3 linked regions of the Lepisosteus oculatus genome follow. The protein of the gene in region 2 interacts with the protein of the main gene of each other region in a biochemical or structural test. Links are inferred from orthologs where the notes say so. Each region holds a gene or a part of one and is shown on either strand. Other genes may lie near its edges.

Region 1 (10,024 bases), on a different chromosome or scaffold from region 2:
TGTTCTGCTGAATGCTTACTCATAAGGACCCTTTTAGAAAGGCTCTAGGGTTGTGATTATTCAGTTATCAAGCAAGAAGTTAATGAAATCTATGGGCTTGTTCTGGTAATTTTGGTACCTGGGATCACAGGCATAAGTGTGAGAACCATAAGAAAGTACTCAGAAATTCCTTCCAGGGATTTGTGATGGAAGTTTTTTTTTATGATTTGATCAAATCAAAAACACATCTTCCCTAACTGAGAAGACTTCAGGGTGTATTGGTGTTTGACTTAGTGTGTTCTGAATTACAGCTGCCCAGTCATTAAAGGTATCTTTTTTTTTTTCTTTTCCTTCCCCTCATTCCAGAACGCAGCCTGCGTAATGCTGGAATTTGAAACCCTTTCCTAAATTACCTTTCCCAAAGTACCGTCGACTGAACAGGATCCGCAAAGAGCCTGGTCCTGATCTTGGAAGGAGAAGGGAAGCACATTGTATCAGGTGAGCAAGGGCTTCTTGTTTTAGTTTTCAGAAGGGAAATCAATACATTCGGAAGGGTATCCCGGATACTAGTACCTGCTTTGCTGTGACCGCTACACATTACACACTTTTGAGCGTTGGGCCCATCTAGCCCATTCGGAGGTTGGTAGCTAATTGATCAAGGATCTCATCCAGCTGTCTTGAAGGAAGGCAACGTATCGGCCTGGCTGGGTAGTATGTTACCTACTCCCACAACCCTTTGGGTAAAGAGATTGGGCATCGCTGGAGTTAAGCTACTGGTACGTTGGGTCGCCAACTATGTTGGAAGATATTTGAATGCTATGGATGTCACAGCTGTCAGGCTGTGTGTCTTGCTACCACTTTATTCAGCCAAATTTTGCCCCCCAAAAAAGAGCTGTGGACGGAAGTGTTCTCGTGAGATGTTAAGGCTCTGAACCTGCCGTCCCGGGCGATTTCTGCAGGCAGTAGAGTGTTCCTCACCCTGACTCCTCTGGGGCTTCCTGTGTGGCGGTCTGGCACTCTTTTAGAAGGGAAGCGATTTCGGATTCTGCCGCCGCCACCCCCTCTCAAAACCATCCTTTGGGAATCCCTTCCCATGGTAGGCTTTCAAGGAGGTGTGGCTGCTACTCTCGTTAGTCCCGAAATCCATTTGTGCCCACGTGAAGCCGGGATATTCGGATATGGAAATTAGCCTTTTTTCCCCAGAACCGACCCCAACAGAAGACGGGCAATTTGCTTCCCCACCCCCTCCTCCTTCTTTTGTTCGTCCTCGGCTCCTCCTCTCATGTCCATATGCGCAGTGGGGCCATCTGTCTCCCCACGCAGGGTCCCAGTGTTCCCGCAGGGTTTCAGCGTATCTGCAAATGAGAAGCTGCTTGTGGCCTGAGGGTTTTGTCTTCAGATGGGCTGGAAAACTGGCTCCTGACCCAGGGCTTCTGCGTTTTCTTTTAGACCTTTAGATCAGATCGCTTTATTGGCCAGATGCAATTTCTTGCATGGGGAATTTGTTTTTTCGCAGACCCCAACCTGCTCTCCATGAGACACGCAGACGGGGAGAGAGAAGCTTGGGGTCAGAGCGCAGGGCCAGCCGTTTATACGGCGCCCTGGAGAAGCTGGGGTGAAGGGCCTTGCTCGGGGGCCCAACGGAGTAGGATTCAAACCGGCAACCTTCCAGCCACAGGCGCAGATCCTTAGCCACAGTGCCACCGCTCCGCCCCATAACCCGTTCCCTTCCCCTCCCCCACGCTCAGACCTGTTTACTCATTGGGGTCGTCGCTCTGAAAACATCCGCTGTGTGGTATTTCAGAACCCAGGCATACTCGTCCAGAGGGACTTGAATTAAGGTACCTGGGATCTCGGAGGACATTTCTGCCAGCGTCCCCTGATGTATGCAGGTGCTAAATTTCCCCCCCTGTATGTGATGGGGGGGGTATGTATGTGTGCTCGCAGAGGAAATGCATACCACTGATGGGTGAAAGATGGCACCGATTACAAAATGGTGCAGATCCCCGAGACAGAGCTCTGAATCTAAGGGGAACTTTTGAGTAGGAACTCGATGCAGGCTAAAGCCTTACCCTCTGAGCTGTGCTAATCCAGACCCTGTGATGTCCTTGACGTTATTTTAATGCACGCAACAGAGCACAAGGTAACCACGGCCTCTGGTATTCCAGCCCTCCATCATCTCATTAGTTGACTGGAATTGGCGTGCACGTATTTCATTCCTGCACAAATCAGCCGGTTCGTCCTGCGCCTATTCTTAGTGCTCCCAGTGGGCTCGTGCTTGGGGGTCTTTTGGGTTGTGCGGGGTGGTGATGAGCTTATTTGAAGGGCTTTATTAGCCACAGCACATAACAGCTGACAGAATTACTCCCGGGGGCCAGACACGTGTGGGACCAGCTGTTGCAACCAACCCTCTGAACACACCAGGCGGCCAAATCCCGGTTTGTGCTGGTTGAACAGAAAGAGGGTGATGTGTTAAAACAGACGAGCCTGCATTTAGAGGAGTCCACAGACGTTTTTTGGAAGTTTCCTTTCCTTAAAACAAAAGCTGCGAGTAGTTCCTGTGGGTAGGAGAACACTCCTAAGTGAGCAGTTTCATTTTTAACGCTGTTGGATTGCGCACAAAGCTGAAAGAGATGTCTGTGCACGTTTGTGTGAAGCAGCTGCTGAGCATCCATTCCAGTCCGCTAAAGCATTGGCGAATTAGCGACGTGCTCGCATTCCTCGAGTTGCTATTAAAAGAGGCAACAAGAACCGCACGTTTACTGTCAGGGCCTGCGAGAGACTGCGAACAGGCAGGGCAGCAGAAGGCGCGTTTCGGCGCCGACGGGGTGCCGGGAGAGCTGGAAATGGCGGAGGGGAAGTGGGCGTGACGTCACGGGCGAGAGGACCCGGATATTTTCCTGCGCGCGGCTCGTGTGGCACGGGACTGCCGGAAGTGGGGGGTGTCGGGCTTGGCAGGAAGTCGAGATCGGGGGGGAAGCGAGGAGGCACTCGGGCTTACTGGCCCACTACCTACCCTGATGCGGTGAAGTCTTTTATTTAAACACCAGATGGCGGTGACTCTTGCGCGCTTTGTCAGGCCGAGGCGGACGAAGTCGGGCAGCGATGGTCACGTGTCTTTCCGCAATCGCCGCGCTGCGTAGCGGGAGAGCCGTGCGTGGAGACCGTGGTTCCTATGGCAACGCCGCTATGGCGGACACGGCGGCCTGTTCTGCAGCTCTGGCGACGCGCCCTTGTGTCTGGCCGTGGGCTCATGAACAGCCATTCATCGGCCGCGGGTTAGCCTCAGGGTTATGGCTCCGTATTTTTGGGAGAAATGTTTTTTTTTTTTTGAGAGCGTGTTGCATAGTAGTCCCGAAGCGCTTATCGCGTTGAACATGGACACCGACTGAATGGTGTCTTTCCGGTAGAGAGAGATTTGGTCACATCACTTTTTATTGGGATAGAAGAGTGCTTTTCGGCACTTATAAACGGCTTTTAAAAACATTGCGCGTCGGCAGATATTCGCTTTTTGATTTTGTTCCATCCCTCAGGAAGGTTTTATGTTCCTTTGCTACTTTAAACGTTAAGCCTTTTTATTAAGGTTAATAAATCGGAACAGCATGACCACCTCTTAAAACGCGTTTTTGATAAACGTGGAGGGAACATTTAAAACCAAAAACGTGCGAGATTTAAAAAAAAAATCAATGCACACACGAGTTTTGTCACCTTCACCCATCATTTGAAGTTACAGCACCATTCAGCGGAAATGTGCAATAATTCATTTTCCAATTTCATAAGATGACACCTTACGTATTCACTTTTGGAACACACGGGGGCAGCAGTTACTTTAAAGTGGGTTTGAAACGAGTCGTGTCAGCTTGAGCAATTACTGCATTCAATAAAAGCAATCAGCTTAATCTCCTTCTTACATTCGAGAAGCTGTTTCTTCAGTTAATACGTACTGGGGGGAAGCCTCTTATCATTGTTGGGTTTAAGGTGTGATACTCTTTCTAACACTGTTTTCTCTTTACACTCAGAGGCTATCCTGGAGCTCAGCTGGCTGGCGTGAAGTTGGCGTGTGCTCTCCGTGTGCTGCCCGGAGCTGCCCCGCGTGCCCCGCCAGCTGCCCAGAGCAGCTCTCATGCGATGACTGTTTTACAGGTCACGCAGACTTGGCTACGAATCCACGGACTGGAATATCACTGATGGGCGCTCTTTTTAAAAAAAAAACGAAAAGCGGTGGAAAAAAATATTGTGATTTAAAAAAATATATATTTAATAAAAGTATTTGAGTATCGGTGCCGTCCTCTTTCTCTTACCAAGGTTCGGAGTTGTGTGTTCCGAGCTGCTGTTGTATGTTTTTCTTCCAGGTACAGTTACCGTCTACAGAGCAGTACTCGGGTGTAGCTTAAGGGTGGTTGTACTGTGCAGGGGAGAAGTGAATACTTGGAACTATGCACTTAGATTTGAATGTACTTTTCGTGACTGCTCCTGTTCAGACCTTTCAGATTGGGTGCTCATTCACGAAGGCTCCAGCACTACGAGTACCTGCCTTCCTGCCTTCAATAAATGCATGTCTAGTTTCTGGAATTGATGGAGTTTGCATCCCCGTTGCTTCCAGATTCTTTTTAATCCTTTGGGAATAGTGTCTATAAACACTACTGTCGGCTGTGTATTCCGGACACTCTAGTTGCTATGAAACGAGCTCTGTGCGATTGTGATGTTGTGATTGTTTCCCCACTGTGGCCGAAAAAGAGTGGTGAATGTGGCTCCGTACTTGAAACCAGAAGACCGGGTTCGTATTGCAGGTGGGACACGGGTGTCATACCCCTGAGCAAGAGGGTTTGTTCAGATTGCCCCGGTTACGTGCCCAGTTGTTTAAACTGGTGCCAATGCATGTTACCTCAGATAAATTGTGCCGTAATTGATCAATCTTAAGAGCAGTATAGCCCAGCTTCCTCCCGTGTTAAGTGGGAGCACCTGCACATATTAGGCAAGCTCCAAAGCTCCTCTATTTGGTTGTCAGCAGTCGTTTTTACTATACTGATATTGATTCCAAATCAGCTGGGTCTGTTGGAGCGGTGTGGCGTAAGGCACCTTATTTAACAGTAGCAGCAGTGTCCCAACCTGGGTCTTGAGTCCCTTCCACTCTGGGGCTGAGGGCCTTTAGGTGCCCCGTTTTATCCTTCTGGAAAAGCACTAATGCTCGAGAGTCCGGTACATTGATAGTCCGACCAAAATAAGGAGGGGGGTGGGGGATTTCGGTGTTTCTGTTGGCCTTTCTCATTGGACACTCAGTAGCAGGTCTAGATGCGGGGGGGCCTAGAAACTTTGTGGGTCCTAATGCCCCAGGGTAGTGAAGGGGATGCTACAGTGTAAAAAAAACATAAAACCAAGGTCCTGACTGGTTATTAGGGATCCCAGGACATTTATCAGAAAGAGTAGGGCTGTTGACCCCAGTGTCCTGGCCAAATTCCCCCCTGGTCTTTACAAATCATAGCCACCTAATAATCCCCAATTATGACCTGGCTTCATCACACTCCCACCTGATTGCTGATCCTGCTGGTGCACTCTGTCTGCCGTTGCATCCATAAAAGTGCTATATAAATGTGTAAGAAATCATCATACCAAGGCCTTATGCGACAACCCAGGATCAGCACTCCCCAGACATTGGAAGTGAGGACGAAGACCAACAGTGAAGAAGGTTCTCGCTCCTGTCGAGGCCTGCCCGGCTATCGTCATCACAATGTCTAGTTCCAGAATTGCGGGTAACCAAATTGCAGAGCTAAAAATAGCTTATTTTTCAGACTGCATACTGTATTGCAGAAGAAACTAGAAGCTCGACTGGAAAAAATGAAAGCTTATGTGCTTGCCTGTTAAGACAATTTGTATTTTATAACTTAGCACATGATCAGCAGAAACAAATTACTGCGCTCGTGTTTTAGGAGACATACTCTCGTGTTACATTGTCCATTGACACGGGTTTCCTACAGCTGTTGGCTTTGCATAAGAGAGACAGTGAAAGTAAGATGCGTTAAAACAGCCTATTCCACGTTACCAATCAACAATGGTGATAACGTAGTCGCACAATCAATAAAACAAAATTACGAGCGTGTTCATTTCTCAATAGCAGATCATTCGTGATATACTGCAGTAGGCTGCTCATGTCCTATGAAGACTGTTCACAGCCAGCTGTAGAAAGATACACAGAAAGGCGATTGCATGTTTTCTCACATACCATGTCTCTATATTAAAATACATGACAGTTTTGTTTGACCTCTTCTGTGTTACGCTCAGTTATAACCCCCCCACATGTTGCTCGGCTGCTCAGACTGCACAGTGTTAAGTGTCGGCTCGCACTGGAAGGGGCGGCGCTCTTCAGCGCTTCGACAGCAGCCTCAGTCTTCACCGTGTCACGTTTTTTGTCGAACGATACAGGTTTTGGGGGTGACCGTTTCATGACAGCGTGTTATGGATCACGGGGGGTCTTTCGGGGGGAGGAGGGGGGCTGCGACGCTCTCGCGCACTCGGGGGGTCCGCACGCGCACAGAGAGTGGAAGAGGGAAAGAAAGGGGGGGTTGGAGCAAGGAGACCTGGGAAAAAAATAGCAAGGAGAGGGAGGGGGGAGGTGTGTCCTTCCCTCTCATTCACCGGTCTGCTGTGCAGCGGAGGAAGAGGGCTGGCGAACTCGGGAGCTGGTCCGTCCTGTACCCCTGAGCGGCGCTGCGCCAGACCCCCGCCCGGCTCTCGCCGTGAGCAGCAGCAGCAGCAGGGTGTGAGCGGACAGCCGGACAGCACCCATGCGCTAGGACCGGAACCATGGAAGATGCAGGGTGAGTTTTGCCTCGCCGCTGTGCCCCTGCGTGCGCCGGGACTGAGACCCCTCTGCCCCTGCCTTCAGCCCCCTCGAATCTGTGCGCTGCCATCGCGTTTGTTTGTTTGTTTTTTTTTTGGGGGGGGCAGCATTTCTGCCGTCTTCCGCTCCTCGGCGAGGCGGTGCTGTACAGGCATGCAGCAGCAGCAGCAGGTGGGGGTGTACCGGTACCTCCCAACGTTTCGCTCGGACACGTGATGAGGTGTTACCGTGTAGCCGAGCCCAGTGATAACTGTCCCAGGACCACGCACAGCCCCGGTCGGAAACGTACGGCTGGCCACCGCAACTGCTTGCAGTCGACACCTCCTGCCTGAGCGGGAGGTGTTGATCTTTTTTTTCGACCCTGTGCAAATCCGAAAGAAAGATTTGGATTGTTTACAGGCGGCACGGCAGGATGTCGTGCTCAAGTTTAGTGGCGAGCCCGACCAAACTAGAACGGGTGATTTTTCTTTTTCGCCAGGTGTGCCTGTACATTACCTGTGTTTTGACGCGCAGAATTATTGGTTAGGAAACGTTAAAAAGGAGTAGATAAGGCACGGTTATTAAAAACGTCAAATTGACTATTTTTATCACGAGTTACATCGCTTATACATTTTCAATATGGAGATCACGTGAAAAACACGAGCTTCGCTTTTGCCGTTTTAAGAAGGATGAATATTCACGGTATGAGCGCTTGTAACGCCGGTGTTCCTGATGCTTCTCCAGTGTGACATTTCGACAAGGGCTCATGCCAGACCTGAGATCTGTGACCTTTCCGTCTGCAGTACTGGATGAAATTATACAAGGTTTACATTTTTAAAGTTTACTGGGAAACCCTTGCAATTCAGACTTTATTTCTCTTTAAAGCTGGCTGAAAAAACCTATATCCATTATTCCCACATCGCAGAAATGATTGTATACTTTTCCATTGAGAAGAAAATCTTGCCTGTTGTAGTCAAGTGTTCTCTTTCCCCTCTTCATGACGCAAAGGACTCTGGTAGTAGTTCTTCATTTGAAAGCATTTCGGGTATCACATTTGCCCTCTTGCAACAGTACCCATTAAAGCGAATTCACTGGTACCTTTAATTGTGTATGGGACATAAGGAGTCTTGTGATGGACTGGCCTCTGTCCTGCCTTGGACCCGTTGCATGCTGGGATAGGTTCCAGCTTCCCTGCGATCCTGGATTGAATGAGTCTGTTAGAACATGGATGGACGGACATAGGGAGTTTTGTTCTTAACTGAGTAGTTTTTGAGAAAGCTTTGAAACTGAGGTTTTTTTCCCTTCCTCTTCAGTTGCAGCTGTCTTTGCAAAGATACTCCAACTAAGGCAGTAAACATAGGATCAGCCTTTTGTTATTTCATGTACAAATTCCTAAAACCTTAAAGTGGCTTAATTTCCCTTGCATTGAAGTTTGTTAGGCCCTGCTGTGGTCAGTTTGTGAACTCCTGCTGTCTTTGACAATCAGCACTCATTTCAGTCTTGAAAGTTACAATTGAAAGTAGATGAGATACTTTTGTAATAGCTGTGTTGGTGTTTGTTAGCCATTGAGAAGCTTTTTAGAATTTCTGAAGGGGGTACTTAAACCTGGTGTTTTACAGGTGGCAGAGTAGATTGAGTAAGTAAGCTATTGACCTGAATTTACTGTTCATGTCAGGGCCAGGCTGGGTCAAAAGTGAATTCTGCAGTCCACTGTGGGAGTCTTGTATGAGACCATATGACACCATTACTGTCATATGCTTTGGGGTCAGGGTTTGGAACGTAATAAGTACAGTATTGAGTGCGTAGTGGCTCTCCCCTTTGCAATATAGCACTATACAGTCACTATTGGGCTGGGCGGTAAGCATGGGATGGGTCTTGGAACTGTGGATGAACCCAGATGTTTAGCCAGAAGGAATGTCCACCTCTTACCCTTTCTGAGTAGACAATTATGTATGCTTCACTAGGGAAACCGGACTCGTGCCAAACAGAAAAAGAAGAAAAAAATTAACTCATTGCAAAACAGGCTGCTCTAAAAGTGCTCTTCACTGATCTGTAATTTTGTTTACTGGTAGTTTAATGTCCAGCAGTAAGGAAATCAGTTGTTAGCGATCGGCAGCGAATAGGAAAAGAAATAATACTGTGATTTAAGGTGGTAATTGTTCAGGAATCTTCATTTGGAAAGAGAAAGAGATTTCTCTTTTGAGTTCTCTAATCTGCGGCTCTGTTTTAAGTCATTCAGCAGAGCGAATATAAGGAGTGATGTGAAAATGAGCAAGATGCAGCATGTGTTTTTCCAGGAGATGGGGGATCTTTTACATTGATCTGCTGGTTATGAGGAAAAAGAGGGCTGTGTTAGGGTCTTAAAGACCTCTGGGGCAATCCTTCTACAAGTAAAATGAGTGACAGCACTTCTGAGATGTCAAACTTTGTCTACAGCAAGACAGGTTGTGTATGTGCTTCAGTCTCAGGGATGAGAATGAAGTTGGATGAATGCGTAAATAACTTTTTTTTGGTTAAAAAATTCAAGTAAAGCATGGAGAATGAGACGGCTTTTTTTGACAGCTTTCTTCTTTTTTTTGTTTTGCACTGTAAGTCCTACAGCTGCAGAAGATTTGATCTTGCAGGCAGTCCGGTCGGGTTGTTGCTAACGGGTGACATAGTTTGAATCACAACCTTTTCTTCCTCCGATAAATAATGTGTGGCAGTTTGGACGTATGCCTGAGTAAACTAACGAGAAGACCAAGGGGAGACAAGTGCAAATTAGCATGAAGTGCTTTGAAAACTGCGGCTCTGTCTCTCCCAGAGAGCCGTGGGAGTGAGGAAGGAGGCGCACAGCCACATGGCTGTAGCCGATGCCTTGGCCTCTTCTGCGCAACAGCTGGATGAGATCCTGTCACCAGTTAGACGGGCCAAATGGCCTCCTCTCGCTTCTCATCTTCCTCTTCTTTGCTGTAGACCACCCCGGTTGTTTTTAGCACGCCTGATTTGTCTACTTGACGGTCGAGTTTTTCACGCCTGGGCTCGTACGGGGGGAGGAGGAGGAAGGACAGGCGGACTCCAGACTTGCAGGCGCTCCTCTGTAACGGGCGGCCGTGCTGCCCTGTCCTGAGGGAGAGGCGCTTCCGTCGCCTGCTGCACCTCAAGCCTGCAAGCCCCCGGGACGCCACAGGGGGCGCCACCTGGGCAGACAGGGCCAATCGGGTGGTGCTGCTTGGGGAACAACCCAGG
Region 2 (10,248 bases):
TATTGAGTGGTAACCAGAAATGAGTCTTATGTTCCAGGGGTGTCAGTGATTCATGTTAGAACTCTTTGATTGTGATACTCTGCCCACTTTTCACTGGTGCCTGCCTGAGGAAAGAAAAGAGAAAATCCTACAATTCATGTTTAAACCTCCAGAGAGTGCTGGCTCAGCAAACTATATACTGTTAATGGTTAGCAACATGAAAGAACTGTAAGGCTGTAAGGGTTATTAGGGCTCGGCAGTGTGGCATAGTGTGTATAGGTCTTAACTTGAAGGCTATGGGTTCAAATTTCCATTGATAAAAAATATTAATAATTCTAAGATTGATAACAATAACTCCTTACACTTATATAACACTTTTCTGGAAACTCCATTCAAAGCACTTTACAGGTAATGGGTACTCCCCTCCATCACTATCAATGTGCAACATCCATGTGAATGATGCAACAGCAGCCATAGTGCAACAGTACACTCACCACACACCAGCTATCACTGGTGAGAAGAACAGAGTGATGAAGCCAGCTCATAATTGAGATTATTATGACACTGTGATTGGTAAAGCCCAATGGGAAATTTGGCCAGGACACCAGGGTAACACCCCTACTCGTTTCGAGAAACACCCGGGGATTTTAAATGACCACAGAGAATCAGAAGTTTTACAGTATATTGTCCCCGTCACTATACTGGACCATTAGGACCAGTATTAAAACCTCAGGGTGACCACCCCCTGCTAGCCCCACTAACACCTCTTCCAGCAGCAACCTTAGTTCTTCCAAGGAGGTCTCTCATCCAGGTACTGACCAGGCTCACTCCTGCTGAGCTTCAGTGGGTTGCCAGTTGTGAGTTGCAGGGAGATATGACTGCTGGCTGTAATGCTATTCCCATGTGGTCATTGAAAATGTTATTGTATGCAAATTAGTCATAAATATTTTACAGAATTCTAAATTAACTTATAAACATTGTCAATTTTTGTACAAAAATTGAAACACTTATGTACATCACATTCTATAAACCAGAATTAATTTCCTTTTTAAATCTAAAAAGTGTGCCTTACTTCCCCTGAAGAGAAGATGGTTCGCTATACCTGTATGTGCTCTTTATTTATTTGAAGTCATAATTTGAATAAAGTCAAACACTGTTTTTAAAAGGGGTTGGAGTTTTATGGATATAATGAAGCAGAATTTACAGTTATCAGCCTATCTCCTCCTGTTTAACAGTTTATCACCTGATAAAAATGATAAAAAGAATGCATCATTCTTTGATTACTCTATAAATACAGAATGTAGTATATATGTTGCTTTAATAAATCATTGCTTTTCAGGTGTCAGATTTTATCTGTGGAGGAAAGTGCACTTTCCGAATGGGCCTAGGCATGTTCTTACTTTGATATTGTGATGTGTAAGCAAAGTGTCCAAATTCACTCCCACCTTAGACTTAAGGCATACTTTACTGTTGAGGCTTGTGCATTACTATAGATGGATTTCAGTGATAATGTGAGTTGGCATATGACATATCATACACCAAAAATGTGTACTCAGATTAGGCCCTGCCATTCTTGCCTCCAAGGCTTAGAAATTACTGTAAGACTAAATAAGGAAGGAAGGCTAATTTTTTTAGCTTTTCCTCCAACGTTTCCCTACATTAAATTATTCTCCCTATTTCTTCTCTGATGGCCTCAAGTTCACCCTAAATTTGAATATAATGTCATATTTTGAAACGTGGTCACTTAGATCACTTAGCATTCATGTTTATGTTCCAAAAAATGGCACTTCAATCTGATTTTTTGCCTGTAACGATGATCCTGGATGGAATCGTAAAGATCATCTGTGCAGAAAGTCATACTATCCAGCCAATCCTCCACTTAAATCTCTTTACAGGTAATGGGGACTCTCCTCCACTACCACCAATGCGCATGTTCCAATGTGCAATAATTTTGTTATACTTTGTTAAGTTCTGAGCATTGAATATGTCACAAGCCACAGAAGGACAGGGCTTTGGATAAAGAGTGAGAGAGTATTGGATAGTATTAGCAGCATAGAGAAAGGAGAACTCTTCCATGTACTAAAAGCACTCAAGAGTAATAAATACAAAGGGCCAAATGGTATCTTTCAAATAGTAGTCAAGGAAATGACAGAAACCACTGACGCATCTCTTCCAACAGTCTCACGCAGTCTCTTGGATACGGATACTGACCAGGGACTGGAGAATTAGAAACATGGGACTCATCCATAAAAAATGTAACTATAACTAAACCAAGTAATTACAGACATATACATACATGTAAAGAAATGGAAATTATCACAAGAACTAAACTAAATAATTACCTACATGGAATCACCTAGTGTATAACATATATGCTAGTAAATAGTCAGCATTTACTAAGTAAGTAAAAAGGAAAAGATAGGTCTTGCCTAACAAATGTGTTAGAGTTCTTTAAACAAGCAAGAACAGTAATGCATACATATAGGACTTAATACAAGGTGTATTTAGATATTTAGCTTTGTTGTAGTTAGATTTTTAGGCTTTTGATAATGTTCAACATAAATGATTAATTCTCAGATTGCAGGTGGTAGGCATTCAGGGAAACCCAACTGTTTGGATTGGGAATTGATTATTAAGTAGAAAACAAGGGGGTACAGATAAAATGTGAATAATCAATTTAGGATGATGTTATTATTGGTGTACCTCAGGGATTGGTTATCAGACCACTGTTCTTCTTAATTTATGTCAATGATCTAGATTCTACCAGTCAAATTAGGAGGATGAGCAAACATTGTAGAGGCAGAAAAAGACATTTTAAAAATACTTCAGTAAAATTCAAGAGTGGGCAGACACATAGCAAATGATGTTTAATGTCAGGTACTGCATGTGGTAGCTAGAATGTAAACTATAAATACAAAATGGGAAACAGTGAACTAGAAGAGGTACTTATGAAGAAGCCTTAGGTATTTGTATTGACAGATCACTTACATCTTCTTGGTAATATGGGAAAACAATTAAAAAGACAACTAACGTGATAGACATTTAAGTACTGTAAGTAGCTGTATCAGCATGCTTAGGCTGCAAAGGAACAAGTAAAGGTTTATTCCTGAATAAGGTTACAAGTGTTTCTTTTCTTCTCTTTTCAGCATGGAATAAATCTTTACTTGTTCCTAAAATTGTAGAATATTAAAAAGCATACAATATAAATAACAAGATGTTATGTTACTGCATGTAACACAGAACTGTGTGTCTGAACAGGGGCTCCTCAGGGGACAGTTCTTTCTCTGTTCCTCTTCACCCTCTATACTTCAGACTTTAAATACAACTCAGTTACTACTACTATTCATTGACTTCAGCTCAGCTTTTAACACTATCATTCCAGAGAAACTAGTCAAGAAACTCAGTGCACTGGGTCTCAACACCACCCTCTGCAACTGGATTCGGGACTTTCTGACAGAAAGACCTCAGGCTGTCAGGCTTGGAAACCACACCTCCTGCACACTAACTCTGAACACTGGGGTCCCCCAGGGGTGTGTGCTTAGTCCATTACTTTACTCCCTCTATACCCACTACTGTAAGGCCAAACATAACACCAACCCCATCATCAAGTTTGCTGATGACACCACAGTTGTAGGTCTGATCACAGACAATGATAAGAGGGCCTACAGGGAGGAGGTCAATCTCCTTACAACATGGTGTGAAGACAACAACCTCACCCTCAACGTCAGCAAAACCAAGGAGCTGATCGTTGATTTCATGAAACTGCAAAACGGACATGCCCCTATCCACATCAATGGGACTGAAGTGGAAAGGGTCATTAACTTCAAATTCCTTGGCATCCATATCACCGAGGACCTCATATGGTCTCTCAACGCCACCTGTCTGATCAAGAAAGCACAACAGTGCCTGTACTTCCTAAGACGGATGTCCACAGATCCTCACTAACTTTTACAGATGCACTGCAGAAAGTACACTGACAGGTTGCATCACAGTGTGGTTTGGCAACTGCAGTATTGCTGACCGCAAAGTCCTACAGCAGGTAGTGAAAACTGCCCAGTCCATCACTGGGGTTGAACTCCCATCTATACAGGACATTTATGACGGACGGTGCTTGAGGAAAGCTCTAAGCATCATCAAAGACCCCACACACCCCAGCTACAGAGTGTATTACCCTCCCATCTGGAAAACGGTATCGGAGCATTCGGGCCTGGACTACCAGACTCAGAGACAGTTTTTACCCCCGCACTATCAAACTCCCAGCCTCTCTCAAACTCACATCATCTCTCACCTATGATCTGAACCTCGCAGTGCCTTCTTTCTTACCAAAAACTCAAACACACATTGAAATCTACCTCTACCTTAGATGTTCAAAAAGCTCACTCCCCATAATTTCTATCCTTTTATTTCATTCTGTTGTTGCATGTTTTTGCACATCTGATGTTATTTTGCACATTAACTGTTACCTTTTGTTGTTTTGCACATTGGCTGTTGTTTTTGCACACTGCCTGTTGTCTCTGTCTTTCCTTCATTATACAATTGTATGGTTGTTATTTGGTAATATTTATCGTCTGAGAGCTAGCTAAATAGCATTTTGTTATACCATATACCTGTATATGAGTATAACAACAATAAACTTGAACTTGAACTTGAACTCAAAGTCATACCACCTGCAGAAGTTCTCAGATGACTCTGCAATTGTGGGATGTATCAAGGGTGGGCAGGAGGAAGATTACAGAGGACTGGTCAGCAGCTTTGTGGAGTGGTGTGGGGAGGACCACCTGCAATTGAATGTAACAAAGACCAAGGAACTGGTGGTAGATTTCAAGAGAAAAAGGGTCAAACCTACTCCTGTCTACATCCATGGGAGTGGTGTGGAGATGGTGGACTCGTACAAGTACCTGGGAGTGCACATCGACGATAGACTGGAATGGTCTAAGAACATAGAGACCACTTACAAGAAGGGTCAGAGCCGACTTTACTTCTTGAGGAGGCTCAGGTCCTTCAATGTGTGTAGTAAGATGCTACACAATGGTGAGCGCCATTTTCTATGTGGTGGTATGCTGGGGCTCTGGGATTAGAGCAGTGGATTCTAACAGGCTGAGCAAGCTCATCAGAAGAGCAAGCTCCGTCATTGGGTCTGGCCTGGACCCCCTGGAGGTAGTGGCTGACAGGAGAATGGTGTCTAAACTAGAGGCCATCATGGACAACGTCTCCCATCCCCTCTATGACTTTTTTGTAGAAATGAAGAGGATATTCAGCAATAGACTGATTCATCCATGGTGCGACAGGGAACGCTACAGGAGGTCATTCTTGCCTTCTGCCATAAGACTGTACAATGCATCCACCTTGCGTCTGGGCAGAGACAACATTGACAGTGACCTGTTTCTGGTCTGAACAGTAAACTGATACATCTGTTATTTTTTTTCTTTTCCCTTTTACAACCGTTTTTGGGCAATATATGCCAGGGACCTGTGCAATACATTTATATCTATATTTATATCATGCAAATTACTTTTTTGTATACTGTTCTGTTCTGGTTTGTTCTTTCTGTGTACTGGACTGTGAGTAACTCACTGTACTGATTGTATTGTATGTATTGTATAATTATTATTGTATCATTCGTTATACTGTTGCTGTGTTGTCTGTCTTAAGCTGCTGTTGCACTGCAATTTCCCTCATGGGATCAATAAAGTATCTATCTATATGTTATTGTTACAGCTTTAGGTGACTGAGAAGTGTCTCTTTCAAATCCTGTTTGTTAGAATGAAATGTCATATGTAAATATGTCAGTGTAATAAATAATATTTATTGAACAATATGAAATTGTATCCCATAAAGTATGCTGATTATAAGTACCAAACATTGTAATTATTTTATGAAAGTAGTTTAGGTGGGTAGCTGCGTCAGCATACTTAGGCTGCAAAGGAACAAGTAATAGGTTTATTCCATGTTAAAAAGAGAAGAAAGAAAACAAAACGTTTCGGCCATGGAGCCTTCTTCACCCTTCTTCCTCACACCTGAAGAAGGCTCCACTGCCGAAATGTTGTCTTTTATGAAAGTGTTGAATTGTGTGGTCTTTCTCAAGATAACAGGAACAATGGAAACAGTAATGGTATTGTAAATACCTCAATTAACTGTATTATATGTAAACCTCAGTATTCAAAAAAATAGTATAATCCACTACAACACTTTTTTAACTTGGAAAACTCGCTGTGTAAGTGTTTTATTATTTACCCTTTTCTTTCCACCCTATACAGAATATAATGCAACCAACAGCATATGAGCCTGCGATTAGTTGATTTTACCTTAATGTTGGTGGTTAACATTTGTTTACTGTATTTCCTAACTATAGGGTGTTGAGCACTGGGTAGTTTAACTACATTTCCCAAAACCCTTTAGTTTACAGAAAATATTTGACCGTTAAAAACTTGGATGTCTCCGCGCGGGTTTTACAGATGCATCTTGGGAATTGAAGTCTATCATCGGCTAACAACCAGGAAGCTTTGTCTAATCGAATAGAAAGACTACAAAATCGATGAGCTCATCGCTTCGTTGCGCAGACGTGGTGAAGATTTTTTAAGCTCGGTATGTGGATCTATAGGAGGGGGAAGGTCCTTGTCGGATTTTGAGGTAAAGTCGCCATTTAGTAAAAACTAGTTTGCAGAAAATAGCGTACATTGGGAGTAAAATTCTGATTATAGACTAAAATAATATTTCGCATTATGTTGATATTCATTAATAAAATGCTTGTTTTTATTTTCCTTGTTACTGAATGTTCAAGCTGAAAACGCAAACTCATTTTGGTTGTGCTGGGGGATGCGGTAATAGCGCAGCAATTTATGTAAACTTTTTTAATGTGCTTTTTCGTGTACACCCTGGCGCTCTGAGCGGAATCTGGAATGACACTGCAATAACTTTATAAGTATTTTATACTTTCATCTTTTAATTATTTAAAGTCATGGATGCGGTGCGCAGGGGGAAGTTTTAAATCACAGGGTTTTGGGAGGGTTTCAGACTCCCTGTGCTCCACATAAAGGGGCTTATCCCACCCGAACTACGCTTTAGTCAGTCTTGCTATGCTCTGCTGTGTGAAGGGAGTAGAAAGAGGTGATTTCCCAGGCCGGAGAGAGACGAGGCCTGGCGGCCGGATTGTGGCACAGAAATCGAAGGCAAGCTAATTTTTCGAATAGTTAATGATAAGTTGTTAAAAATCAGATATCGGTCATATCTCTGTCAATCTTGAGCATGGAAGGCTCCCAGTCGCTTACGTGCAAATAAAAAGGAATACGCAGATGGAGACTGGGCACTGACACTCTTGGTGCGTTAGGAAAACAAAGACACTCCTCCATGCCCTGATGTTTTACGAAATTGCTCGGGCCGACATTCGACCTGGATTCACCGTGCTCTTTAAAAACCCTAGCGACCAAGAAAACGGAAAAGCAGGAGACTCGTGAATCGGTGAAAATCCAGGTCAACCGGCGGGGAACACTCCAATGAGCCATGTAAATCGTCTAGTCCAGGTTCGTTGTGCACGCTGCAGTCAACGAGCGAAGATACTATTTTTTTTACATTTTAACTTAAACTTTTGGCAGGGTTTGGTTGGTTAAACTATATCCACGTTCAGGATGGGTTTTGTACGTTGTTAGGCTGGTTAAGCGAAGACTCGGCAGCCTTTCAATAACTCCGGATTCACATCTGAAATAGCATCTTGCGCGGTGCTCCAAGTTCAATTCTCTCCGGGGTTTTGCCGGTGTGATTGCTTTCAGACTGACAATCCGATGTGAAGAAATGTGGCTTTGACTAGGCTTTAGGTAAGCAGGTACCTCCGATATACTGCCTCCCATTAGGACGTTGTGGCAAACCTTTCCGGTACGTGAGGGATGGCAAAATAGTGATTTACTTGAATCCCGTAGAGATTAGGGGTATAATATGGTATTCAATGTAAGATTTTTTTCTTCTGTGTGTATACTGTATGCAATTTATTGTTCTTAAAATGCTTTTAATTTATGGCCTTGATTTGACACTGCATCATATAATGTCGCTTGTTTAAAGCGACATTACTTCGTTTTAGCATGTGCGTTCCGAGTGCTTACAATGAGGTTCTTAACATAAAACTATTTTTAATAATACATTTGCTTTGGCAGCCTACATTGTTTTGTGCACTAGGTTTTAAACTGTATTGGAGACAGCGTTGTGCATTGAGATAATCCTGTTTTAGGTCAGCCGTGGGTCTTGAGTAGGCCAGGCCAACCCAGCCTGGTTGGTGCCAATGCTATGCAAATGGCCTAGCGAACAGTATGAACAAACTTTTTTTTGGGTTGTCTGTGACCCAAATCTATAAACAGTCCTATGAAGAGGTTAATTTGGTGTCAGTTGTTAGTTGTAGGTTATAAAACATTTTTCTGTATTTGTTCCTTTCCATTGCAGAATCAGAACGCAAAAGGGTATTTTCCTGGCTGTTTTGAAACGTTAAATGTAACTTTAAATGATTTTCGAATTCGGTCACTTAATTATTAGTGCATCAAAGGCGATCGAGCTGACAACTTGCTCATGACGTTTTGTCCTTAATCCTTTAGCTGACAGAATTGAGGAACAGTCTCACTTCATAGCGTCTGTGTTAGTTGCTGGTTTGGCGATTTGACACTACGTTTTAAGTGTTTAAAATGAATGACGCAGTATTCAAGATGAACTCCGCATACAATGGAGTGAAAACTGTATATATATTTTTCATCATATTAATGTCTTTGTGGTTAAAATCTATATAAGAGTCCGGAAAGGGAGGAAATGAATTATGAAAGTCATACGAGGGAGTTATAGGAGTTAACTTCAGCAGCGTGATATTTATTATAGGAATTCATCAATATGAGTGGTATGGCTTCCCCATGTACAGTACTTTCAATGTAGCCAACAATGTATTGACTGAAAACCGGTTTAGTACTGTTCTACAATATGTATTTGTTATATTTATTAATAAGTGTTAAAACTGGGAAAATGCAGAGCTCTTTTTGTTCAAGAGTGAAGGTGACAGCCTAATATTATTAACAACTGTTACAGCAATTTTTTCCAAAACTATTTAGTGATGTGAGAATTCATGGACTTCATTGTACAAGATTTTTAATGGAGTATCAGTGTAATGTTCTTAGTGTCATTTAAGTGTTAAGATGGATAGAATATTTTGAAGTGGTTAACTTTTCAAAGTTGGTGTTAAATTGTAAATATTATTACCCTTCTTATTTAGTATTATTACTTAATTTAGGTGGATTTAATCTGAGCACTGAACTCTCGTTAGCCTAGGGTGGGAGATGAGCATCTTTTCTCTATTTTTTTCTTAAAATATTCATACCTGTTATTTTTAAGTATCAGATTAGATTGATTTACTGCCTGTGGGCTGCAAAAATTTGGAAACGGTTTATGTACTTAAAAACATTCTTTCTGTGGTTAAAAATTATGCATCATCATCAGCACAACGTTTTCCCTCTAGCATTGATTTTTTTTGTATTTTTGCTTTTCCACATGATTGAAATAGCACAAAAACAAACTTTCAGTACAGCTGAGAGCAAGTTGTTTATAGGGGATACTAACTTCATGCCCCATATATTGGGAAAAGCTGCAGGGTCTCATGGTAATCATAAGATAGTTGGCGACTTAAAAGATTTTAAAAAAAATCCTGTTTGCTCTCTCGGATAACTTAGTTTGCTACATGTGAGGTGTGGCAGATTGACAGTTAGAATGAAATCGCACAGAAGTATGAAATATTTTCCTAGTGAAATTGTTTAAATCACCATGTTACTCAAACTTCCAAATACTGAGAATGTGGGACAGGAAATGTCATCATGCTCATATTGGAAAACAATACTTTGTATATAACCATGGCTGGAGTGTTTCGGTTCTTCATGTTGACTGTTGACCCATTTTCTGTGTACTTGTATATTGTAAGCAGGGAAAATGTAGCAATATTGTGTGTACTTTTAACATTGAAGTAACATCTTAAGTAACTTGAAGCATGTTCCTGTACAAGTTAAGATTTAGTAACATTAGCATGTAGTTGGAGATTGTGAGCGTTGTGGACACATAGTCCAAGAACCTCTCTTTACTATTGCTGAAGGGTTAAATCCAGGATATTCATACTAATTTCCAAGGACATCTTTGAGTGAAAAGAACATGACAACCAAATGAATAGAGCATGTTAACACTTAAGGAAAATGAAAATGTAAGTTTGGGTGTGCAGTTATTTTTTTTTCTTTTGCAGTTCAAGTCTGTGAGGATCAA
Region 3 (9,794 bases), on a different chromosome or scaffold from region 2:
TCTTTCGAAGAATTTTGATTGCAGTCTTTATAGTAATAAAAGGAAATAATTCCTTACACTTACTGTATATAGTGCTTTTCTGGACATTCCACTCAAAGCGCTTTACAGGTAATGGGGACATCCCTCCACCACCACCAGTGTGTGGCTCCACCTGGATGATGCGACTGCAGCCAAAGTGTGCCAGTACGCTCACCTCACTATCAGTGGGGAGGAGAGGAGAGTAATGAAGCTCGTTCATAGGCGGGGATTAATAGGAGGACATGATTGGTAAAGGATTTTAATGACCACAGAGAGTATCATTCGAAGGATGGTGGCTTTTTACAGTATTGTGTTCTCATCACTATACTGGGGCATTAGGACTCACATAGACAGCAGTTTGAGGGCCCCCTATTGGCCCCATTAAGGGTGGATTCACATAGTATGACAATGTTTCAACTGTGCAAGAGTCTGAATACTGTAGCAAGGCATTGTACATTAAAAAGCATCAGCTTGCAATCCTGAAGGTCCAAAACTGATCAAAGATAAATACACTCTGCTTTTTTGCCTTAGTAGTATGCTTAATAGAAAAATTTGAAGCACTACTGATGCATTATAAAATGAGGTTGAGTCTTGAATGGTTTCACCAAGAGTGTGAAACTGTAGTGGTATTACAGGAAAGTGAAAAGAATGTGAAATAGAATCTCTTCTTCAGGACAATTGCACTGAATTCCAGCTCCTTTTCCCTAGACCCTATTCCCAGCGGTATGGTGGCTGTTTGCCAATACTGTATTAGTATAGCAGAAATCTAGGAATGTTCTGCACATCATATTTCAATTTATGCCTGAGGCACCTAGATCCACATCTATTTGTTAGGAATTTCAATCATGTAACCTGCTTCCTCAAGAGAAAGGGCAAGCACTTTTTAACAGTTAATGGGTTAGTTATGGGTACATACTCCTGTAAATAAACCAAATAAGACCTACTGTATATATCATTGTTTCTTAGTAAGATAGTAAACCACTTAGCTAATTAATTCATTTGCATAGTTTAGAGATAATGGGTTGCATCAACAAATGCTTTTAAAGGGACAAAAACAACAGGATCTTTGTTATTGGCAGAGTTGGAGCTTGCAGGAAAAACCTCCTGTTGGTGAACTGTGTTAACTACAGAAAAAATAACTACAAAAACGTCTGTAAAGTCATGGACAGTAAACTGAGCAGCTGTACAAAGGCAAGTCAAAAAAGAACAAGGCTGAGAGAATTAGAAAGTAATTTGGATAAGGGGATCACATGAATACAAAACAGATTTTATAAGTACTGCATACATTAAAACTTGTAAAAAAGAACACCAAAAAATTTGTAAAGGATACAGTAACAATACATTTATTGTAGAAAATTTGAAGATCAAAGGGAAAAATGTTGTCTGGATATTTTACATATGTATTCCCTACAGAAACGACCAGCACCAAAATCATGTGATTTTGCATGTTATACTGTAGTTCATTTATGCCACAACCATTTATGGCGCTTAGCCTTCTGAAATATAACCACCCCAAGACAATGCCAAAACATATGCAGAAAGGAGTCCATTGTGTCCCCTAGACAAAGTTTACACAAGGCACTAACTTCATATAATAGCATCACATGAGAGGTCAAGTATTCTCTGTGAGGAACATTTGCTATAAGTGAACAAGTTGGATGACAAAAATACAGTACAGTGTCCCAGGAAATGTCTAGAACATTCAAATCACTATTCCAAACAGTAACATCTGGTAAGAGGTTATGTAAAAAGAAACAGATTAAGCCAATACTTCTGTTTCACCTCTAAAACGCCAGCAGATTATGCATTGGTTTTTCAGATAAACCAACCCTCATGAAGGACCACGGCACATGTTGAAGAAGTGAGACTCAAATTAAACAAGATGACCCATTAGTTTATAATGAGATTGGAAATCGTGGACTGAGCAAAAGGCCATCTTAATTAAAAATATCTGCTGGAATGTGCAGTCCTGAATTTTAAGTGTGCAAGAGAAAGAGAATTATCTACTGTATACAGAATCTATTATAATAGAGTAACATTTTTTCTTCAGTTTCTGGGAATGAGAACAGAGATCCTCTACCTAATTTTCTCTTTCTACAGGTGCTGGTGCTGTGTAGGTTCACTGGTTTGTGATCAGACTAAACTATCAGCATCTGAAAACAGTATTTCCTAACAGACTTTATAGTGTTGCCAGTTCGACAGAATTAAGAGCACCTGTTTTTTAGAAGTGTTACTTTCATGCGAGTGAGATTTGACAGGGAGCCCAGAGTGCTGGTTTAGTGATAAACGTTTTCAAATTCTGAAAATTATTTTCCAGGAATAAATAGCATGAAGGTAACACCCTATAAAGAAGAGGTGATTTGAAAATACATAACGGAAAAGTACAGAATGTTTTATTTTTTGTTTGGTTTTTAAATCACAAAAAACTGTAGACTTGAACATTACAGAGAGGAAAATAATACAAGTACTAGAGGAACTCAAATTTAACAAAACGCAGTGGTGATCTAATCACAACTAACTGTAGATTTAACAATGGCAAATTTTACTTAAAGAACTAATGAAGTATTGAAGACTGTACTCGGGATTAAAAGATTATTAATATTGTAATATTATTATAAGGGGCAGAAACCTTTAAAAAAAGCTAATCAAACATTACTAAATCACTATATTCTCTGAACAATTATATGGTAAATTTACATTTCCTTAAAGCTTCCAGAATGTTCTACTTAAAAGATACAACTCTAAGGTGGTTTGTTGGAAATTAAAACATTTGGCTACGGTCCATTATGCAACAGCATGGTAAGCTTTTCTGTGTAATGGAACCCTTTAAAGGCTGCGTCTAAAAATTGGGTTTACATTTTTATAAAACCAGATTAAGAATGAATGAGGCAAAGTTTGCAGGCAGTGAATTGGAAACAGATGGACTGAGAGACAACAGAAAAAAGAGTGGGGAGCTGTATCAGTGTGTGAACTGTAAGGTTAATTCCATGTTGAAAATATATGGGAAGAAGATCAAACAAAACCGAAGAAAAATCCAAACTGTAGTTCTAACCTTGGTTTTCTTCTTTCAAACCTTTCAGTTTGAAAACCTGTACTTGTGCCTGCTATACAATGAGGATGGTCGTACTTCAAAAAGATAATGTAAAGGTTTTCAACAAATTCATCCCTAAAACTAATAACTGTAATTAAGCAGTGGCATATCACAGGGATCCATTTTAGACCATCTGTTCAGTTTTCAGATTAGAATGAGATATATAATGTGAAAAACTAGGACCCCTTAAGGTTTTATAAAATTACAAAAGGTTTAATATATTTAGACATATTTGACCCTCACCTAGTCCTCACCAAATCCTAATAGCAGATAAAATGCACCTCAGCTGACAAATAGCACAAACAAATTCTACTTTGTCATTGTTTATTTAAACAATGAAACAGCATTCGATATGTTTGTGTGAAAATGTAAGTTCTACCACCGCAATAAACAGGTGGAATAAAACATGTACGAATGATTAGTTGATCATTAAGATGTGATTTTGCCCATATAGAAAATCATACACATTCTCAGTTTAGTAGTAAGCACTCAGGTTAGTGGTAACACATTGTGCGCAGAACAAAATAAACCAGTGACAGTGTCTTAGAGAAAGAACTGTTGCTGCTTAACAGCCTGCGAAGGGTTACAATGCCATTTCCAAACACTGGGAAGTCCATCTTTCTAGAAAGATAATCCAGAAATTTCGAAAATTCAAGACTGATGCCAATCTACCCAGGAGTTGCTGCCCTGTCGAATTTTATTAAAGATCTGACCTACAGTATGATGCTCCCAAAAGTCTAAAAAGAACCCTAAGGTTTCATTCTACTGGCCTCTCTCGCTATGGTAAATGAGAGAGATCATGAGTCCACCATTAGGACAAGACAGAATAACACTGGCTTACATGGAAGGACCAAGAAAGTCAAGAGGAAACCCCTGCTCTCCAAGGAGAACACTGCTGCGTGGCCAAAGTTTGTGAAACAGCACCCGCCTGAATAACAAGACTTCTGGAACAAAGTGCTCAGGAAAGGTGAGTCAAAACTGGTTTATCAGGTGGGTGAACACAACGGCAGCAGTTAGGCAGAAGGCTGGGATTGTTTGAAGATTTTTGATTTTGAGAGCAAACTTTGGTTTCAAACAAAAGGAGGCCGGTCAGCCCATTTAGCTCATTTGGGAGTTAAGAACTGATTTATCCAAACATCTTATATAGCCATTCCTTGAAATAAAGATGGGAGTCAGCTACTTGTTCGTATTTCTTGCAAATGATGAGACTCGGAACTGGTGCATCATGGACTTGTAGATCAAAGCTGTGGAATGGTGTCTGATGTAAGGACCTCCCAGAGCCATAAATTGTTACATTGTTGTTTGGTACTAGATGTTAATAATGTATTTGGAATCTATGTATTATGTAATACTATTGTGTAGTCCATGTTCTTCCCACATGAGTCTGTAGATTTTATTCCCCAATCTCATAATGGACACAGACTTGATACATACTGTATGTGTACAACGAATGACAATTCACAAGACACCACAGTGCCCCACCCTCAGAAAACCCCCTTTCTCCATGTTAATAGCAGTTAAACATCCCTGGAAGGCTAACTCCTTCTCCGGGAAAAGGTTGTCAAATTATCACATAAAAAACAGGGAAAATTACATGAATCCACTGAAAACATATTTAGCCTAGAACATTCTAAAATGTTCTGATAGAAAAAAGCTCCCAAGCATAAAGAAATGAAAACAAGTATACATTAGATTCAAACTCGTTTATACCAAACTGCTTTATACCATATGGTAATAATAATAATAATAATAATAATAATAATAATAATAATAATAGTTTGGCAATGGGTGGCACATTGATGCAGTGGGTGGCATTGTTGCCTCGCTATGCTTGGGCCCCTGGCTCACTTCCAGACCTTGGGTGCTATGAGTAGAGTTTATGTTTTACCCATGTTTGCGTGGGTTTCTTCTCATAGTCTAAAATGTAAACATACCTTTTAGGTTCATTGGCTTCTGGGAATCCGAAGCTGTGATTGTGTATGTCTGTATTTGTGTTTCTGTTTGACCTGTGATGGAGTGATGTCTTGTTCAGGGGCTACCCAGCCTTGTGTCCAGTGCATGGTGGGATGGGTACCATCTCCCTTGCGACCCTACACTGGAAGAGGCAGTTAGAGAATGGATGGATGCTTTGGCAATTGTCAAGAGTCATGGCAATTGTCATACATTAATATACAATTCCGGTAAATTACTTATTCTGAGTATTTAAAGGAACAATCTATTCATTAAGGCGTATTCCTGTTAAATCACAGGTGACTCGCACATAACTTCAAGGAAAATTATTAATTCGGTCACATATAAATTCGCCTTGATTCCACTTCATATAAGAAGCATTAAACATGTTTTGGCAAAACGCATTATGCCATACTTAATTGAACTTAATACTTTAATATTTAAATATTTATGACAAGGAACTAAGCCTAATGTAAAATTCAATTTTTTAAAACAATTTAAAATAGTCCAAACACATGTATATTGTCTTCAAATGGGTCACACCTCCCTAAATTACGGACAGTATGGTGTACGGAGAACGAAGTAGCGTGGACACGGCGCTGGCAAAGGTAGGATGATATTTAATTGCTGTGACTCAGTGATCACTCAACAACCGATGGCACTGCCGTCTTTCTAAATCACTGAATGAAGGAGGAGGTATCAAAGCAAGGGGCGCACACAGGATGTTTTGATTTGACTGACTGTAGTAGTGACCAATCAGCAAGGGTTCATTTTTAATTTTGCCCAATAGAAAACCACTATGTGCACAGACCAAAATAATATATTCGATTTCTTCGGGAGGATAGCTTCTACCATCAATGTTGTGGCTGGAAATAGCTCCTCATGGCCAGAGCATAGCTCGCAGATTGTTTAACGTTGGAAGTACCGGCTGTTAGAAACTAAAGGGTATAAAACGTACAGGGTGATTTGTTGTAATTTTTCATGCTAGGTATCCATCTGACAGCTTTCCTAGTTGAAAGGGTAATAATAAGTTTGCATGCCTTGCGTTATTTGACATGAAGGAAAAATAATTCTGGACAATTTGGACCCTCCAAAAAAGCGATTCATTAACAATTGAACGAATTAGTGCTGCATTGTCATTCGCCTGTCATTTTGCCACACACAAGATGGCCGCCCTCCGGCTCTTCCTGTGAGCGCCGCCAGGAACGTGGTGGGCGGGGTGTGTGCAGCTAGTGGCAAAGTTTGGGAATGATAGTAGGACCTGTGAAAGATTGCAAGTGAGGGAAGTGGCGTTGCGGGTCTGCTTTGAAATTTGAACGTTATTTTTTATTTCCAAGAATACTAAACATCACAGGCCTGAGGTTCGATACACTGTCTGCACAGCGCGGCCTTTTCAACAGCAGCTGTAGTCATGTCCGAGGACCTGAGCTCTCTACCTTGGTCCATCAACAAAGATGATTATGAGCTACAAGAGGTGATTGGTGAGTAAATCGTCAAAGCTAGTGCTGCCAGTGCCTTTCCTGCAATTATAGTGACGCGTCGAACAATTCATCTCTTTTGTTAACAGCTGCAGTACTATTAGCAGCTCCCTAAGGAAACGATAATAGCGACTACCGATGGCTAACGTTGACAGACAGGGAAGGGCTGTATTTGCCGTGACTGTAACTAGGAAGTCTTTGCTGTATTGCAGTAAACAGTGCATCGCATTTGTGAGCTGCGTGGCCATTCATTGTGTTGCGTCGGAGAATGTGTTGAAGTTACACGCCTCCCTTCAGTGTGTTGCGGTGCGGCTCAGTTGCGCCCTCGCCGCCGCCGGCGGGGCTGAGCTGCGGGTCCAGCCACAGGGGTCGCGGGCTGTCACTGTGTCAAAGTGGGTGGTGCTCCGTGCAAACACGCCGCCGGAGCCCCAGGCCCCAGGCTCGACTATACATCGCCCGGGCGGCTGGAGTTGGTCGACTTCTCCTTGTCTTGTGACATTTCTATGTGAAAGGACATTATCGACGGAACTGCGGGCATACACACCGAGACTGAACCCGTTTAGACATAACCCCTCACGCATACTCGTCTGTCGCCTCTGTAGTTTTACGCTGTATTTTTGTGTCCTCGGCTTGTATCTTTTAAGATTGCGAAGGTTTATTTTTAACCTGAGATAATTGTCATTGCTCATTTCTTCTTTTCAAAGTTGTGTCTGGCTTCCCAGTAAATGCGTCGATGGACAAATTATTTTTCGGCGGACAAGGATAGTTAAGCAAGTTAAACAGTACTGCAACTTTTCCGCCTAGTATTTTAACACCAGTGTCGTTTTCTATCCCTGAGTACTAACCTCGAGTGAGGGAGGATATTGTAAATGAAACATCAAGTGTATATTATAACATGTTGACAACTGTAGTTGGAATGTCAAGCTTTTTACTTCATAAACTGATCATAACATTTAATTTGTACTCCCGTCTTTCAAATGCTGTTCATCCACTCAGTACGATACGAAACCTCTCGTTTTCGTCTAATCGGAGATTTAGGGGGTATTTTTCTGGCATAATTGTGATTTTCATTAGAAAATGTCAAAGTGGTAATGCAGAAATTGAGCAACATGCCTTTTATGCAGTAGGTATTTCAATTGGCGATGTTTAAAATTCAGGCTTTTATTCAAAGCGGCTTCATTTGTGTCTACGTATACGTTTTGCTAAAGCAAGCTGCTTTTTCAAAGGTACAAAAACAATGCCACGCCTGCGATTTGAACCCACAACCTGCCAGTTAGGTGCACAGAATCAAGTTAAAATTCCGGTCTAAATACGCATTCAGAGATCGCGGACTACAGATGTGTTTTCACCGTTTTCCCAACGTGCGCCTTGGATAGTGTTTGGGGTCTCCACCTCCTTTTCGGTGTTGTAGGCGACAGCTCATCTCCACACCCTTTTTTTTGTATAGCACCATTACAAGGACATTTGGTGTTAACTTACTGTAACTGCAAGTTCACATGGGGCATAGGGCACTAATGCATTTAACTACATTTGTGAGTTTTTTTTAAACTTTTTCTTTGTTTTGAGCTGGTTACTCCTTGCTTTTAAACAGCATATCTCAATGTTATGCTGTTCAGTCGTTCTGCTCTGTCACTGACAGTGTCTTGCAGTTCTTGAACCTTTACTGATTTTTTTTTTAAAACGTACAGGCCCTGAACAAACCCGGCCCTTTGTAAAGAAGGGTGTTTTGTATTCCGTCCACTTCACCTCCAATGATATGATAAAAGGCTACCATTGTTGTGTTGAAACTGATCTTTGAGATTTGAATACCATAATTGTGGCTGAAGCTTAAATAAAAAATGGGGTGCAAACAGAAGCTGAGAGAGAATGATTTAGCCCAATGGATGTTATGTTCAAAAGAATATGCAATTTATCTTGTAGATTTAGTGTTTGCAGTCTGTTTTCCTTGTTACATTCCCCTAACTTCCCCATTTTTCTCATTGTATCATTCTATCAGCCTTCCTGTAGGTTAGTAGGTCTGCCAGTCTGTGGACGTCTTCTGATGCCCTTTTTGTCTTGCTTACTGTACCATCTCGGTCATGAACCCGATGAGCATATCTTGTCAAGAAATAAAATAAAATAAATAGTTGTATCCTGATATTAAACTTTTTGGTTGATAAGAGACACCGTGCAAGAATATCTTGCACATGCTTCAAGTGCAGTGCCAAGAACACAGCAATATGTTTGAGTTCTGAATGGAGTATTGCTATTGTGACCTTCAGAAATGTACTTCATTCCTATTGCTTCACTACAATGCCCAGCTATATAAATGGGTACAAACAGGATTGTGGCTAAAAAGTAAGGCAAGTTATTAATGTTATTAAAAAAAATACTTTTAAAGTTTCTCTGTTGTAGTCTAAACAGTGATGAATGCTGTTCTCTGCTTTATTGTGCACGTGCATTATCTAAAGAATGCACATATCCTCTAACAGTACAGTATAAGCTATATTATTGGTCAGATGGAAAATTATTCAAATATTTGTACGGTAAAAGTAGAATAGAGTATGTGGAAATTAACATTGACACATTTTTATGCTGCAAAGGAACAAGTAATTGGTTTATTCCGTCTTTTTTTAGCATGGAATAAACCTATTACTTGTTCCTTTGCAGCTTACGCATGCTGACGCAGCTACTCACCTGAATTACATTTTTATTTTGGCAGTCTTGCCCAACAACGATCTATTCATAGGTGTTTCTGACAAAAATAGGAGCTATCAAAGCGGCTAAAATAAGGAAACTACTGAATTGTCAGTTGGTAAATTACAAGAAATTTCTGAGTAAATGTGTGAGGTCACCTTGACCTTTGACCCAATATGGCTGACAAACTAAGATCTTCCGAAAGTGCTGGTTTTCAGTATATTGATAGCGTTGATCAATTTTATGAACATATCTTATTTGTTAGTCTGTGATGAGGTAACCTGTTTTGTAATAATTCATGTAAAAATAAGTGACGGCTAACCACTAGTTAAGTATGTTTCATCTCATTTATAGCAAGTTTACTTTTTTAAATTTTAGATGAGCAAACTTCAGTGGTGAAACCAGTTAATTTCAAATTTACCAAGCTGGTGATTTCTTGCATTAAATAATGGATTCCTTCACAATATCTAACAAATCTGTTTCCTTTAAAGGGCCATGTCGAAACAGGTTATTTGGAAAAAAATGTCATCTAACCTCAAGCATTGCGATAACATGGTTATGGTCCAATGATTGCAGATACG

What was found.
Region 1: of the proteins of wnk1b (region 2) and klhl3, one has a biochemical effect on the other in vitro, tested with the Homo sapiens proteins (2 studies listed by BioGRID). The link is inferred for Lepisosteus oculatus from reciprocal best matches to the Homo sapiens genes WNK1 and KLHL3.
Region 3: of the proteins of wnk1b (region 2) and oxsr1b, one has a biochemical effect on the other in vitro, tested with the Homo sapiens proteins (2 studies listed by BioGRID and IntAct, with this or other methods). The link is inferred for Lepisosteus oculatus from reciprocal best matches to the Homo sapiens genes WNK1 and OXSR1.

Annotation. Positions count from the first base shown.
Region 1 is NC_090706.1:38,766,849-38,776,872, forward strand, and holds the start of klhl3 (kelch-like protein 3), read left to right. Parts: upstream 1-5,608; 5' UTR 5,609-5,729; intron 5,730-6,563; exon of another isoform or gene 6,564-6,627; 5' UTR 6,628-6,780; coding exon 6,781-6,794; intron 6,795-10,024. UniProt on the Homo sapiens protein: Substrate-specific adapter of a BCR (BTB-CUL3-RBX1) E3 ubiquitin ligase complex that acts as a regulator of ion transport in the distal nephron.
Region 2 is NC_090702.1:10,339,232-10,349,479, reverse strand, and holds the start of wnk1b (serine/threonine-protein kinase WNK1), read left to right. Parts: upstream 1-6,543; 5' UTR 6,544-6,609; intron 6,610-6,724; exon of another isoform or gene 6,725-7,499; intron 7,500-7,557; exon of another isoform or gene 7,558-7,790; intron 7,791-10,228; 5' UTR 10,229-10,248. UniProt on the Homo sapiens protein: Serine/threonine-protein kinase component of the WNK1-SPAK/OSR1 kinase cascade, which acts as a key regulator of blood pressure and regulatory volume increase by promoting ion influx.
Region 3 is NC_090701.1:34,901,587-34,911,380, forward strand, and holds the start of oxsr1b (serine/threonine-protein kinase OSR1b), read left to right. Parts: upstream 1-5,893; 5' UTR 5,894-6,470; coding exon 6,471-6,540; intron 6,541-9,794. UniProt on the Homo sapiens protein: Effector serine/threonine-protein kinase component of the WNK-SPAK/OSR1 kinase cascade, which is involved in various processes, such as ion transport, response to hypertonic stress and blood pressure.